Lepisosteus oculatus: one gene and its partner. The main gene of each other region encodes a partner of the protein of the gene in region 2 in a complex. Links are inferred from orthologs where the notes say so. Each region holds a gene or a part of one and is shown on either strand. Other genes may lie near its edges.

What was found. Proteins that work in one complex are often made in the same cells at the same time.
Region 1: the proteins of serpinc1 (region 2) and f10 are in contact, whole or in part, in a crystal structure (PDB 2GD4), measured with the Homo sapiens proteins. The link is inferred for Lepisosteus oculatus from reciprocal best matches to the Homo sapiens genes SERPINC1 and F10. Residues at the interface, in NP_000479.1 of Homo sapiens: Asn265, Thr266, Arg267, Glu269, Met283, Met284, Tyr285, Glu287, Tyr292, Arg294, Val349, Val420, Val421, Ile422, Ala423, Gly424, Arg425, Ser426, Leu427, Asn428, Pro429, Asn430, Arg431, Thr433; in NP_000495.1 of Homo sapiens: Asn254, Glu256, Glu258, Gly259, Phe260, Cys261, His276, Cys277, Gln280, Ala281, Lys282, Thr318, Tyr319, Arg366, Lys370, Gly371, Arg372, Gln373, Phe396, Asp413, Ala414, Cys415, Gln416, Gly417, Asp418, Val437, Ser438, Trp439, Gly440, Gly442.

What each region holds. Positions count from the first base shown.
Region 1 is NC_090710.1:28,697,339-28,705,001, forward strand, and holds the start of f10 (coagulation factor X), read left to right. Parts: upstream 1-4,486; 5' UTR 4,487-4,706; coding exon 4,707-4,767; intron 4,768-5,131; coding exon 5,132-5,292; intron 5,293-5,449; coding exon 5,450-5,474; intron 5,475-7,201; coding exon 7,202-7,315; intron 7,316-7,408; coding exon 7,409-7,540; intron 7,541-7,663. UniProt on the Homo sapiens protein: Factor Xa is a vitamin K-dependent glycoprotein that converts prothrombin to thrombin in the presence of factor Va, calcium and phospholipid during blood clotting.
Region 2 is NC_090704.1:19,398,415-19,406,129, forward strand, and holds the start of serpinc1 (antithrombin-III), read left to right. Parts: upstream 1-4,134; 5' UTR 4,135-4,180; coding exon 4,181-4,260; intron 4,261-5,992; coding exon 5,993-6,341; intron 6,342-7,038; coding exon 7,039-7,254; intron 7,255-7,653; coding exon 7,654-7,715. UniProt on the Homo sapiens protein: Most important serine protease inhibitor in plasma that regulates the blood coagulation cascade. AT-III inhibits thrombin, matriptase-3/TMPRSS7, as well as factors IXa, Xa and XIa. Its inhibitory activity is greatly enhanced in the presence of heparin.

The DNA.
Region 1 (7,663 bases), on a different chromosome or scaffold from region 2:
AAGGTGAGTATTAACCTCCCTCCCCCTCACATTTCCTCCAGAGGCCTGTTGCAGACAATGCAATAATTCCATATATTCAAGTATTTGAAGAAGTAAAGTTGTGTGCTTCGCTCTTTCTTTCTACTTTTCAGGGTGGAAGTGACATCTACTGTACAGTATGTATTCCTTAAAAGCTCGCCAAACTGGCCTATTTCCCAGCTCTATCACAGACAGACAATCATACCTGTTACTCCGTCATAATTGCTGTGACTCTATAAAGGACTGTAAGAACTCATTCACTTATTCTGTGTTGCTTAAGGGAGGCTGTCACTTCCTCTTGTCAGACCAAGGGATGAATGGAACATGAGAGTGTTCTGAATTAGCACACCCCCTTGACTATAGTCCGGAGTGGTGCAGTGGCTCTGTGGCTCAGGATCTGCCCCTGTGGCTGGAGAGTTGCTGGTTCAAATCCTGTGGCTGGCAGAGGAATCCTACTCTGTTGGGCTCCTGAGCAAGGCCCTTCACCCCAGCTGCTCTAGGGGCACTGTATAAATGGCTGACCCTGTGCTCTGACCCCAAACTTTTCTCCCTGTCTGTGTGTCTCATGGAGAGCAAGCTGGGGTATGTGAAAAGACAAATTCCTAATACAAGAAACTATATAGGGCCAATAAAGTGATCTCTTATCTTAGTCTGCACTGGTAAGCCAAATGTAGACATTGTTGCCAAGGTGCTAAAAAGGAAAAAAAAAACATGGATAACTTTATTTCTGAACAAACTTAACCATCCCTCTGGTCCCGTTAATGTTAGTATTTCAAAGTGCAAGTATAGTTTCCCCTCACACTGGTGAGTGAGTAATTTAATATTGGTTCAGAATTTAAGGACATTGCAGTCAAATTATTTGCACAGGCGCTCCATGCCTTCCTGCTAGACACTGTACACTCTTCACTGATCACCATGATCGTCAATCCTGTAGCAAATGCTCAGGCCTCTGACGTTTCAGCTGAAAAGTGAAACGTGCAGAGACAATTAATCTCTCGATGTCTTGGTAATGTAGCAATTAACAGAGGCATTCCTGTCCCATGCAATGTCACAGGGCTCCCACCCTGAACATATCCCAGAGTATTGTGCTCCAGGCCATGGATAAAATACTGTAACGCATACGGCCATCAGGGTGTGTAAGAGCCGGCTTACCAGAGCGTTGACGTTGCCGCCCTTCCCTGTGATAGCAGGACCACAGCCCCTGGGCTGTGGAGAGATCTCTCTTTGGCTCACCAGGCTGGGTCCCTGCTGAGTGACATGGGAGTCCTGGGGTCAAGCCCCTGATGGTGGGGGGCTGACCTAATGCGGCATGGGCGCCCGCCTGAATCCCTGTTGTGTTACAATACTAAACCACTGGCCGTGTCGATAGGCAATAATGAACATTTTGTATCGACTCAGATCCTGAATACAAAGACTTCTACCAAGCAAATGAGCAAGATGGGTGAAAGGGTCTCTTGTCAGTTCTAGCTTTGTTTACGTTCCTATGTTGCTGCTTATACTGCTGAAGTACTGCTGGGATAGGAAGCACTGATTTTCCAATATATTGCTCATGACAACATTTGTTGCTGCTGAATGGACCACTGACTTAACAAAGACACAAGGACCGAATAAAACAAAATCTCTTCAAACACTCAATGAGGGCTTAGTAAATACTAGCCAGTAACACTAGGAAAACATCAGCAGTGCTTGGTCCCCTCAAATCCACTATCATCAAGACCTGCAAAGTCACAATCAAATCCTCTCTCGGGAAACAATGGGTTTAATGGTAGATCTGCAGGTTCATCAACCTCCTGTTGATGTTCAAGTTCAAGGCCTTCTGTGTTTGGTAGAATGACATCAACTCCAAGCAAACTAAACCATGATAAGACAAGGCAAGCTTTGAAAGGAAGATCTATAAAAACAGACAGTGGAAAGACATGTTAACAAAGATCAAGTATCTCTCCAATATCCACAATATGCTCAGCACTTTCAGTGTCATCAAAACCATCTAGTGTCCAAGAATGCAAATACCAATCTCAATGAGACTTAAGAAGACACGAGATTTGATCAAGGAGAAAGAAGTTCTTAGCAGTCATTGGAACATTTAGAAGAACATCTTAATGAAGACACTCATGTACAGTAGTAGACACTGGTCTCAGCTTCACTTCACAACAATCAGTCAGCTTTGAACCTGGAGAATGATAGAGAGAATTTTCACCTTTTCATCCATCAGAGAATAGATGTGCAAGAAGCCATCTGGGTTGTCTCCTTCCACATGCTGAAAAGCACTTTCCACTCCTCTTAAGGTGGCTTCAGACTTTCAAAAGGACCAAGAGGATCTTCACTGAGGTTTACAAGAGAATGGGACTGGCCCTTACGTCACTCAGAAGATAAAGACCCTCTCCAGCCCTGGCAAATTCAGATTCACAGGAAGACTCTAGAATTCATTAAGCCTTTCTTGCACCATGGAGAACATTTCTCACAACAAGGCCTGTCAGTTGTGATTCCTGTCGTGTTCCATGGAGCTGAGACATAGACAACTGTAATAGACCTCCCTTCAATGGTTGCATAGCAGGGGAAATCTGGACATAAAATGTCCCTATTTCGAGGACGTTAGAGAGTTATTATACCTTCCATTCCTTGATGTTAGTCCGTAAGAGGTCACACCTCCCACAGATAACAGTGGAAAACTCCTGATTCTCTCAAACTTGTTTCTCTGGTCTGCTCAAAACTGTCTTCTGTCTTCCCAGTTGGCTGGCATAACTACCTTTCAAAATGATTGCACCCAATTGCACCCTGAGATTTTGCGTTTCACTGTTAAGCAGGTTGTGACGGTCTGAATAGACAGGCCTTGTTTGTAGGTCTTTTTATGGGCCCACAGTGTTGACAGATGCAGCCAGTTTCGTGTCGTTGCCTTCTGGCAGTTTGGCTGCCGAGTTACCACAACACAGAGAAGAAATCAAATCCGTTTCAAAAGCAGTTGTCTTGAAAGATCTTTCAAATACAGCCAGAAGGCCGTGCGTCTTTTTCAAGCTGATACAACACAAATCTGGGTGATGTAACAGAGGACATCCACTTCGTCACAGCAGCTATCTCATCTAAATATCCAACTCCCAAAGCAAGGCCTTTATCTGTCTCAGATACGTTACATACTGAAGGCAGAGGAAACACGTCAAGGCCAGGAGGAGGAAGTGAAACATTGACAGGAGGCTTTGGGAAACTACTGCCTGTCAGGGAGGAAGAATCTCCTGGAAACATCTCAGCAGCTTCCCACCATACGATGGCAACACGAGACAGGAAGGCAGGGACAGAAGAGTCCTGAGCTCACTTGGTAGGCCCAGGGCCTCAAAACACAGTGTTGCTGGATTTCTTGATTTGCGTTTTTCCCTGTTGTCATACCACTTTTACGAAAAGGTTTTTAACTGGGAGGCTTCATCAGCGTTGTGGGGTACAAAGGAAGCAGCAGAGGCTCATTCCACACTGGAAAGCAGAAAGAAAAAAGGCCCCAAGATGTGAGAGGAAGGCTCCACAGCTGAAACACTGTGTTGTTTCTTCCTTCTTTTTGCTTTTCAGTGTGGCATTAACATCTCCTTGTTCCCGTGAGCAACATCTGAAAACACGATCTTTTCCATGAAGCTGAGATTAACTGACAGGAGATCGCTGACCCTCACAGAACAAACACAACTGTTATTGCACTGTGGCTGACTCGGAGTTTGGACAGTCAACTTTTTGCAGTTGCTCTAAAATGTGCGCATCTCCAAAGGGTTTTTCAAGGGAATTCATAAAACCTTAATGTTCCCCTAGTTTAAAGTGTGTGGTAGCATTGAACTTTTGACAGTCCATATTTGTTGACAACATCATTTCTAACTACAGTCCCACACAATTAAGAAATCAAGCATGAACAGTAAAATTTAACTGAAATTTAATTTATCACCACTGAAACCATTAAAACCATTAAACTAAAACCATTCAAAACTATTCTGAATTCAGAAAATGTTTCCAAAGTATTTTTTGCTGCTCTGTAGCTTTGGTACAGTATGTTTTGTTTATTCCATCTATTTAATACAGTATTTGTACAATGTGGTCAACATTTTTTTTTATTACAAATACTCTTTTTTTAGAAATCCAATAGACTAGGATATCATAAAGGAAAGAAAAAAACCCTGAAGTAAAAATCGTGTTTTTTTGTGTGTGTGTGCTTTTAGGCACACATTTGATTTCAAAAGAAAAGAGCTTGCCCAGCTCAGTTCGTCTATCTTTAAACCGCTTACACAGACTGCAGGAATCCAACAAAAAGAAGAAAAATTGACATTGTAACTGTAGGTCTAGGTTTGTCTGCAAAGTACTGTACATCAGATGAACGAGCACGACATAAACGCTAATGACAGCAGAGTTTGACAACGAAACGGCATGTCATGGTGTAAGAACTAAAGCTGCTAACCTTGTCCTGCAGAGGAACAGGACAGTCCTCTTTGCGAGATACAGTACTGGTCACAGATAAGCAGAACGAGAAGAGTTAGCGATGGCGCAATCAGACCCACTGTGTTCCTTTCGTTGGTAGGCGAAAACAAAATCATAGGTCCTGACGTGGAGACCTGTGCGTTTTCACTGTTTTTAGGCCTCTCTCGTTTCCCCTGTCATGCTGATCTTTGAACTTTTTGCTGCCATCTGCCTTCAATCTGGAGGGCTCGATTCCTAGCTAAACTGCAATGGCTCGGCTTTTGCAGATCTGCCTTTTCTTCGCGGCGCAGGCATCGGTAGGAGCCGAGGGTATGTTGACTTTCGTTATACTGTGTCAAGATCGGTTATTTTTCTTTGTTAAAATTCATTTTGTTCAGCCGGTTTTTTTTTCCCTCGGATGTTTTTTTTTATTTAAAAAAAAAAACGAACCTTAGTAGAAGAACCCAGCTCACAGTTTGTAACTATAGTCTGGGATGACATTTGGGGGGAAATATTTAAAGAAGTAGTTTGAGGTGAGCCATGCTAGAGGTATTTATCAATATTTGAAACCTAAATACAATTGTAGGCTGTGTGCCAAAGAAGTGTGCCTAACTGCCACGGCTAGTGTTTTCTTTTTTCGACTGAAAAGGGGAAATATCAAAGTATAGTAAATGGACATAGCCTGTGTTTTCAGTGTTTGTGGACAAAGCGAGGGCAAGCCAGGTCTTCAGCAGGAGCCGCCGGGCGAACACTCCCTTCGAAGAGTTTCGGCAGGGCAACATCGAGAGAGAATGTCACGAAGAGCGCTGCAGCTACGAGGAGGCGAGGGAAGTGTTTGAAAACACCGAAAGAACGGCAAGTACAGTTCTGTGCCATCTCCCCACCGCAACACGGGCGAAAAGGGCCGCTTGAACGGTTGTCACTTGATTAATGCCACCATAAACTGGTAGAAGATGGGCTTTCTTCCTACTGTACTGTACGTGTGACACGGTTTTTTTTTCTTTTTTCCTAGGATGAATTTTGGAACGTGTATTTTGGTAAGAACCCCAGATATGAACATGTGTGTGTGTGTGTCATAAGCTTTATTTTAAAAAAATAAAATATTGAAATACATCGGGTCACAGGCAAGGTGGATGAAATGAACACAGACCGTCAGTCACATGTGAATCTCCGGGGCTGTGGTATGTGGTAGTTTATGATCTCACACCTGAACTTGGTAAATAAGTGGGGCGGTTCATATTTCTCTCTTGATTCGTTATGTGAGTTAGCGGATGTTAAAATATTGCATTTTAATTGAGTGAAAATAGTGAGAATCAGTGGCATTCTGTCGCTGTGTACATGCAGTACTGTATACAGACTGGTGTACCCACCCTTTAAAAATAGTAATCTCTTATTTGTTTATGTTGGGTTTTTTTTGTATGTATTGCATGTTATTTTAAATGTATATATCAAAGAAAGATAAGCAAATGCCAGACATTTCTGAGAATTAACAATATATTGTAGGAAAGCGTATTGGAGGAAATGTTTTTTCTTCTTTAAACACACAATGGTACTAAATCATTTAAAGTTGTTTCTAAAAATTAAGTAAAACCAGTATATCCATTGGATTTTATCATTCTCATCCTTGTTCTCCCCAAGGTTTGTAAGAGAAGGAAATGCGACTAAAACTGGGCCTCTTCATTTCCCTCTCTGCCTTGTGTTGGTAGATGATTGATGATCTAAACAGGGGCTCCATTCCTCAGATTCTCTGGACAGGCTGTCTCTTAATCAAACCGCTGCTGGGCTTGAGGGCAGTTTAGACAGGAATGTGCTCGTTCAAGGAGAGCCTGGAAGGGGTAACTCCTTCAGAATTCTGAATTCTGTGAGATTTTTATTATGCATTTGCTCCAAAAATAAATATACTAAAGACCTGTCCCAAACAAATATATACAGCATACAGTACGCAGAAGGTGATAAACTAAAAAATGCACTGAAACATTCTGTGGTGAAGAATTCCGTCTTAAGGCGGTCTCAACCTCTGAATGCAAAATAAAGCAAATAAAGGCTAAAGCTCAGTGAGTCCAGCTGCAGACTCATACGGATGGAGATATGCACCTAGACCTCACTGACCTGGATATCCTTAGTAGATACCAGGCTTTGCAGTGGATGTTGGCTAATCTCTCAGCTATGACAGCTAGCAACCTCCTCTGTACCTCCGCTTTGGAAGAAGGAAGACAACAACAGAGAAAGTAAACACGAAATGAAATACATGGCTTCCTGTATGGCCCTGCAAAGACCAGTCAGAATAAAATCAAATGGTGCCACAGGGCTGAGAGAGCACAATGGCAGAAGGTCAGAGAGGTGTACAACCAGGAGGAGAATGAGAATCTGAAGTGTAAATTAGCAGAGTGTGATCCTCTGTGTGGAACCAGTAATACTGTACACTCAGATTCAGTCCAGACAGCAGACCCTCAAGGCAATTTAGGTACATCAGTAGAATCAACTTGTGATATTCAGCAAGGAAGAGTGAAAGTATTTTTCTTCGTAAAGAACTTGCTGACTTGATGGGGGACAATGTGTTGTGCAATAATTAAGAGTCCTTGTCATTTTCCAAGGACCATATTGATGAGGGTTAAAAGACACTACCATTCCGTGGAATCAGCTTCTTGTTTCCAACCAGCAGTTGTTTTCACATTGCCTGTGTCAGTCTACACACACACACACACACACACATACACACACACACGTGTCATCATCTCAGAACTCACAAACCCCTTTCCCCCAGACGGCGATGCCTGTACATCTCAGCCCTGCCTCAATCGTGGGAAATGTAAGGATGGCATTGGAGCTTACAGCTGTCTCTGTGAAACTACCTTTCAAGGGAAGAACTGTGAAATCGGTAGGTGGGCAAGTACACCATATTATAAACTCTGAACCATTAATCATTCTGGAGTCTGACCCTGATCTGTGATCTTTTCTGACCCCCACCCAGAGATTCCAAAGCTTTGTGAAAACAACAACGGGGGCTGCCAACACTTCTGCAAAGTGGTAGATGACAAAGTCACGTGTTCCTGTGCCACGGGCTATTACCTTGATGAAGACAGGAAGAAGTGCTTGTCTGACAGTAGGTATTTTCAACGCAGGACAGATAACTCGCACGCCATACTTGTTAAAAAACAGTACCTCTAGCTATATCGTATTTGGGATCACTTTACACGCCAGTGCAATTTTAATACCAAACAATTGA
Region 2 (7,715 bases):
TTGTCTTTTACATTGTTTAGTTTTGATTGTTTAAACTTCATGCTGAAATGATAAAAATGCATGCATTGGGTAAACAGTATTGACAATTGGCAGAAATAGAATGAAAATCCAGCTCACCTTTCAAAACATTTAGGCAAATCTAGACAAAGAATAAACCAAACCTTATTTCAAGCTCAGAAAGTACAGTGTGCTGTATTTGACAGGCTGTCACGTTGCCTTCTCACTGTATGGCCTGAAAGGTTACAAGTCACCATAGGACAACAGAATAATAGTGCAGCCATATTTCTCCTCTTCTTGTGACTAGGTATTATTCTTTAACCCAGATTCTTAAAAAATTATAGAATTGTTCATTTTACTTTGTAGCTATAATGGCCATTTTTCTTTTCATTCAGCATATCCTCATCTACCCCTTCACACTCTAGAAAACGAAGGGAAATCAGGGTAGGTATATAGTGGAGCATTTACTGTTTACCTTTTGCCGTCAGTTTGCAACTGGATTCCTTAACTGATGACAGTACAACAAGTTTGTCTTTACCCCCAAGTCCCTGACTGAGAGCTTCGTATAGAGTGTCTGTTTTTGCTCAAATTGGGAGACACTGGAAAGCAGGAAGGAAAACACATTTTGTAACTCCAATGGTTTTGCAATTTCAAATACGTTTCCATTTTAGACTAAATATTTACTGTTGTTGGTTCTAACAGAGATCTGAGACCTGTCACACTGCTGTTACTGTTTTTGATGTGAGGTAGATAAAACTTTACCAGTGTATTCTAGAAGGGAAAAATAAAAGAGGAAGCATTGATTCTAGCTGTATTTGACCACTTATTTTGCTATGAAAGCATTGCCGGTCTCTTGGTCCTTGAAAAGTGATGGGTTATTTTTTTTTTTGATCTTTGTAAGATCTGTGTTGGTCACTGTATCAGTAGTACAGTGTGTTCTGTTCAGTTTGGGGAGATGACAGCTCTTAGCAACACAACAGTTACTCAGCTTGTAGTTTGAAACATAGTGACAGGGTCTTGAGTGAAATTTGCCTCCCAAATGGAGCACTGGCAGCACTCTTGAGGGGCACCAGGAATGTTCCCCTGCCTCCATACAAACTGCATTTATTGTAACAAGACTGGGCTGCTCTTGCTGCATTGTTTTGATTTTATTCCTAACATTGGGAACGTAATTGCTTTCGATGATTACTCCCAAATTGTCTTGTAATAGATTGCTTAAATTAAGGTACAAGTTTAACTTCAAAAATTGTTTGTTTTTATATTATACTCCATTAAGGAATGTTTAGAATTATCTTTCTCCAATATGGATGTAGCTGTTATACTTTTTTCTTCATATAAAAAGAATTCACTGTGTGAAAATTGGTTTGCATTTTTGTATAATACAATCCGCTTCTTTTTTCCTTGAGTCAGGAGGGAGTAACTGGAAGTTTGAAGAAGAAAAAACAAAAAAAACCTGTGAAATTAATGTAACTTATGTGCAACAGTGATTCTTTACTGGCAGGGACTGTGATTAAATAATATTGTAAATCTTCTGTCTCATTTGCATTCATTTCCAATGATAAACCTCTGCATGCTACCACACAACATTTTTTCCTTTCTCTTTTAAGACTATCCATTTGAGCAATCGGGGATTTAACTGGTACGGGTTCATATTTGGAACAACACGTACACTGGCAGACTGGTGAGCTGCTTGTCAGGCAGACATCTGTCTGGTGCCATGGAGTTCAGTATTAAATTCCACATGGTATTATAGTGATCCTGAGAGAAAGTGTTGATAGTCCCATTGTGCACTGTGCTGTTTCAGGCAGATTTTCATGGAGGGATTTGCATGGTCAGAAACTGCTTCATGAATGACAAAGCTTCAGAATTGTTAAAGGCAGTAGCAGATCTTAAAATTGCAGATCTGTTTTTTTTTTTCAGTTGTGCTAAAATGAGTAGGGGAAGTTAAGAGTTATTAGGTAAAGGGACTCCTATCATTAAAGAGAACCTCAAATCTGTTAAGTCTTATAAGCTACCTAAACTAAAGATTGGGATCACCTTAAAGCTGTTGATAAATTCAGCAAGTCATGTGTTCAAGTAAGAGAACTTACAATGAAGATGTTCCAAGTCTTAAGTATTTAATGGTGGCCTATGATATCTGCTGAAGTGGTTCTTTCCGGGAATAGAGTAATAACACTTGGGTTATGAACATTACTAACCTTACAGGAATTCTCTGCATCGATGGGTTTAATACTCCTGCATTCAGTTTGATAGAAAAGGGATGCACTACAACAATGAAATGCGAACCAGGGGGCGCATAGAAAAACAAAAGTCGAGTCCATTGTCTTAAAAAATGGTGGTGGGTGTTTAGAACAAGATGCCATGTTGTTGAAGCCAATACCATCCATTTTCTAACCATTTAATCCAATATAGGGTTGTGGGGGAGCCAGAGCCCTATCCCAGCAAGCAATGGATACAAGAAAGAATACTTCCTGGATTGGATGCTAGCCATCGCAAGGCATGCATATACACACACTTACACCAGGACCAGTTTTCGCAAAAGCTGTTTGACCTACTTGGATGTCTTTGAACTTTCCATGGGAGGAAACCAATGCAAACGTGGGGAGAACATAACTCCACACAGATAGCACCCTGCTTTTGTAAGGAAATGGCACAGATTACTCAGGCTTGTGCTGACTGCGCTAGCCATGGGTCACACTGCCAAATAGAGGAATTCACCTTAGCTTCCTCATATTATTTGGGATGTTATCACGTGTGATGCACAACATTGCCATTTGTTGTAATGTGATGCTACATGAAATGTTCGCTAAGACTGCAGACCCAGGGAGTGCCAGTTTCAGCCCTTAATATTTGGGTCTAGATTGCAGACCTTCTGAAGCTAAATGTGGGATTAATGTTCTGATGTTGTATACATTTTTAGGAGGGATCTGTACTCTTCAGTCTCCCCATTCCAAGCATCACTTTACAAAAGCTTCTAAATGTATTAGATCTAGAGCATTGGTGACTGACATCCAAGTGATACTGAGCTCCTCTTACATTGCTCAATTAAAGGGTTTTCACGGTTTCCGACCAGTCAGTCTCTTTCTGAATGCCATTTTTTCATTGAACATGAGCTAAGGGTTTCTAAAATGGATAACCCAACTCTTCCCAAGAATGTCTTCTGGCTCAACTTTTTGGACATATCCAATGATTGTCTCAGGATTTAGATTTTTAAATAGAACAACGGAAACCTCATGTTCTGTGCTCAGTGGGTTGGATAGTTGGCTTCCACAGTCTTGCTAATAAAGTGCCATGCTTTACAGAGGTTTGTTAGGTAGCTGTGCAGCATGCATAAGCTGCATGTGAACAAGTAGAGGTTTATTCCATGCTGAAAAGCAAATTCATTAGATCAGTACTGTTTTTAATATATCTAAAACTGTTTATTCCTAGCAAAACACTGAGATAATAGAGGAATGCCAGAACCAGACTTCTCTGATTTTCCTTTAGCAGCCAAGCTTTAATTTATGGGGTCATTCTGAGAACATAAATATGCACCAGAAACACAGCTTGAGAAGAATCGATTTATTTATTAGAGATTAAATTATACAGATTAGACACCTGATCGCTCACAGGTCTGCTGCCCCTGAAACTTTGTGAAGTAAACCCCCATTTTCCCAGCATTCAGCTTCTCTGGCCACACCTGTGCAGTTGTTGCTTTAATCATTTCAACTGTGAACCCTGGTACAGACTAATTACCGCAGCCAAGCACAGTAATGCCAAGGACAGTGCAGCAGTAAACGTCTTGCTTCTTACTGCTACTTCCCTGCAGAAAAGTAGATCGCAGCAGCACCCTAATTTTATTAGTATGTGAGCAAACTGTTGATATTGAAATAGGAGCTAAATTGTCTTTAAAGTATGGAAATTTAATGGCAGATGAAAAATATTCTTGGGTTGGTTGCTCCCGAAGGTGTTTCGGGATTTGTGAGTGTATTTTCTATGTGTGAGAAGGCAAGGCTGCTCATTTCACAATGTTAAAGAACCACATTAGTAATGCAAAAAATCTTTTTTCTCCGTGTTTAATCCCAAAAGTTCAAAGATTAACCAAACCAGTTATCCTGTGTAAACGATGATCTGATTGATTGTCTCTGCACTGGCGGCCAGTGAACTCCTCGCTGTGTTCATCATAGTGCGTTTTATCGAGTTTATGGTCTCCCGTCCACATTCTGTCTCACTGCTGCTCCAGCTTGGCTTGTTAACTGAAGGAAGACGGACACTACAGGTAAGGTAGGATCTCACTGCTGCTTTTCTTTGGGCAACCTAAAATCTTAAGTGTTGCTGCAAATATGTGGAATTTTTCAGTAAAGTTGTATAAGGTAACCAAAAGTCCTTTTTCAACAGAAACCCTACGTTCCTCTACGTTTTGCTTCTAGGACTAAACAATTATGCTATGGGGTCTCTGTGCTCTTCAAATCTTGAATTTTTAAAAGTTTTTATACAAAGCCATTCTTATATTTAATTAAAATATTTTTTAATGGCAGCATTCTAATTATCTTAAGAAAGTTTGTTTTCTTATTTCAGTTTAACCTAACACTTTCTTGAATCAGTGTTCATATTTTTAATCCTGGCTAAATATGTTGGTCATGCTTCAATTTATCAGCTGGGGCCCCTTAAATTGCCAGTTTAAAATTGCTCTGTTTCTGTTGTTGGCTTGTAGATCACTTTAATTGAAATTGAGATGTTCACACATAAAGTAGATTGTGGAATTCTAAACTGCATATCAATTTCTGATATTTTTTGTTTCATATATTTTGCATCAAAATATGATCTTTCATTGATTAACCTCAAATTACATGAACACTACAGGTAAGGTAGATCCTTTGATCTGATTCTGCTTTTCCTCTGCCAGCTTGGAAATAAGGTGTGGAACATTTCAGTGACGTTGGAATACACTGCACTGTGCAATCGCAGGCAACATTGGGCAATCCAACATTTTTTTGCACACCAGCAAATAACATGGACAGAAATCAATAGGTGTCTTTTACAAATATTTTCTATTGAGAAACAATGTCCAATAGCAATGCCCTTCATAGGTCTCTTTTTCCTTAATCATTGCTAAGGCCACTGGGGAATTTTATCTAGAAACTCCTGGGTTTCTTCACTAGGGTGAAATTCCTAGTCTTGATCCATTCAGTTTTTAGCCCTTTTGTTTGAGTAACATCTGCTTCCTGATTTTCAATTCAAGTTGTGGACATTCGATCCAGTCTGAGGTGGCCAGTTGTAGAAAGTTGTAGAAGTTGTTTCATTGGAAACAATGATATGTGAGCTCTACAATGTCTAAGTAATGTCAAAGAATGCTCCAAAATAACAACAACAGAAAAAACAAGCATCACAAGCAAAGAATTCAGAACAACAGTGTTTCAGGAGATCAGAAACTTATTTTACATTGTTTGAGAGGGAGATTGCAGAGTGGATGAAAGATGTATTGAGTCCATTATACCTGCAGAAACAAGAGGTGTCTCTCAGATGGGAGTACTGTTAATTTACCATGCAAAGGTTGGGCCACACAACTCTACATAATGCTCTTAGACATCTATGTCAGTTTGTAGAGGGCATTTAGATGGTTTACCCCAATGATTTTGATATTACCTTCTTCATTTTTCCCAACCTATTACTATTAACAGCACTGATGTTGCTGAATGAACCAGAGAGACAGTATGTTAAAACACTTTCAATAAAAGGTTGTAGCAAAGTGTTGAAATAGTTCTTTCTATGTTAAGGAATCTGAGTTTCCTATGGAAAACATTCAGTGTTGCCCTTTAGAAATGTTATAACTGGTATAAATACAAGTTGTATCTGGTGTGACAGCCTTTAGATAATGGGGTTTTGTCTACACTCACTGTGACTGTGTCAAGATGTTGCTGTACCTAGTCTTGATGGTCGTGACATGCATGAACATATAGACTATCTGCTTTAGTGACTGACCCAACCTGGGCCCTGACGTGCATTTTGCCCCCAGGATGAGGCTCTTGGCTGTCTTGGCTACGTGCCTGTGTGGCGTTCTGGCTGTGGATGATATCTGCACAGCAAAGCCCAAGGACCTTCCACTGGAGCCCATGTGCATCTACCGCAGCCAAGACACAGCAGGAGATGAAGCTGCAGAACCAGACAAGATCCCAGAACTCACCAATCCCCGTGTGTGGGAGCTGTCAAAGGCCAACAGCCGCTTTGCCCTGGCCCTGTACAAAAACATGGCTGACTCCAAGTCAGCTACCAGCAATATCTTTATGTCCCCAATCAGCATCTCCACTGCCTTCGCAATGACCAAGCTGGGCGCCTGCAACAAGACGCTTGCGGAGATCATGCAGGTGTGTGTCTGAAATGGGGCATAAGCTCCTGCATCGGGGCTTCCAGACTCTCAGGATCTTATACACAGCATCTCCATCAGAGTTCAGTTCCTGCATTTTAATGGCAGAAGTACCTGTCAAGCTAAAAAAAAGAGAGGTGATGGCAAAAGTTAGTATGATGTGTAGAATTATATTGCCGTTCATTTACAAACATTTAGCAAGGTACGTTCTTGTGGTCATTTTGCAGCTTCCCACATTTTGTTCTTCCCCCATGTTTGTAACATGTCTTGCTGATGTTTGCTATGTTTTTAAGAAGACAGACTTACACTGCAGACTGCAATGTTTTTTTTCTATTCAGAATAATGGTTTCTGTTAATTTGTCCATCAGCTGTGTACAGGATTAATACAATTCAGCACAAAAGAGGATTCTGTTTGAACCCAAATGGAGCATTGCCTCCTGTGAGATTTTAACATGCTTTCTTGTTTTCTCAAAAATAGAGTTCCAATTGATTGATTGCATAGAACCCTAATGTTCTAGACCTAGTATGAAAATAGCTATTTTTACATATGCATAACCATTTGGAGTTTTATATTTACATTTGTTCAGTGCCTTTTGAATCTCTGTTCCCTGCTATCATTAAGGGAATACCATTACCCATGCTGTGTGTAACTTTCTCCAGCTTTGTGGTTCAAACTCACTCCAGCTCCGTTCTTGCAGGTGTTCCAGTTTGACTCCATCAAGGAGAAGACCTCTGACCAGGTGCACTTCTTCTTTGCCAAGCTTAACTGTAGACTGTACCGTAAAGCCGACACGACTGCCGAACTGGTTTCTGCCAACCGACTCTTTGGGGAAAAATCTTTGGCCTTTAACCAGACCTACCAGAACATCAGTGAAGTGGTCTATGGTGCCAAACTCATGCCCCTCAATTTCAAAGTAAGTTATGTCTCTCACAGCACTGAGCTTACCTGTATCCCCTTCGATTGAACAAAAAAAAACGACTTCAATTGATGAGTTTTAATCTTCTGCACTCTACATATAAATGGTACAATTTATATATTTTTATACCTAAAGATGGTTTAAAAAAACTGGTTGAGGAAATAGAGAATGCTGTTCTTTCAGGCCCAAGTCATCTTGAGTGTCATAAGGGCATAGAGCCAGCAAATACATCGAAATTAAAATGTGTGTTGTTTCTATTGGTTGAAAAATCCAAATAACCAAATTTCTTAATATTGTTGTAGCATTTCTCAAAAATAAATATTTTAACAACAAAAGTGACTTGTTTGCATGTCTTAAAAGCAATAAATCCAATACAGTCTTTGTGTTAACTTCTAGGAGAAACCTGAATTGTCCCGGAAGACCATCAATGACTGGGTTTCCAACAAAACTGAGAACAG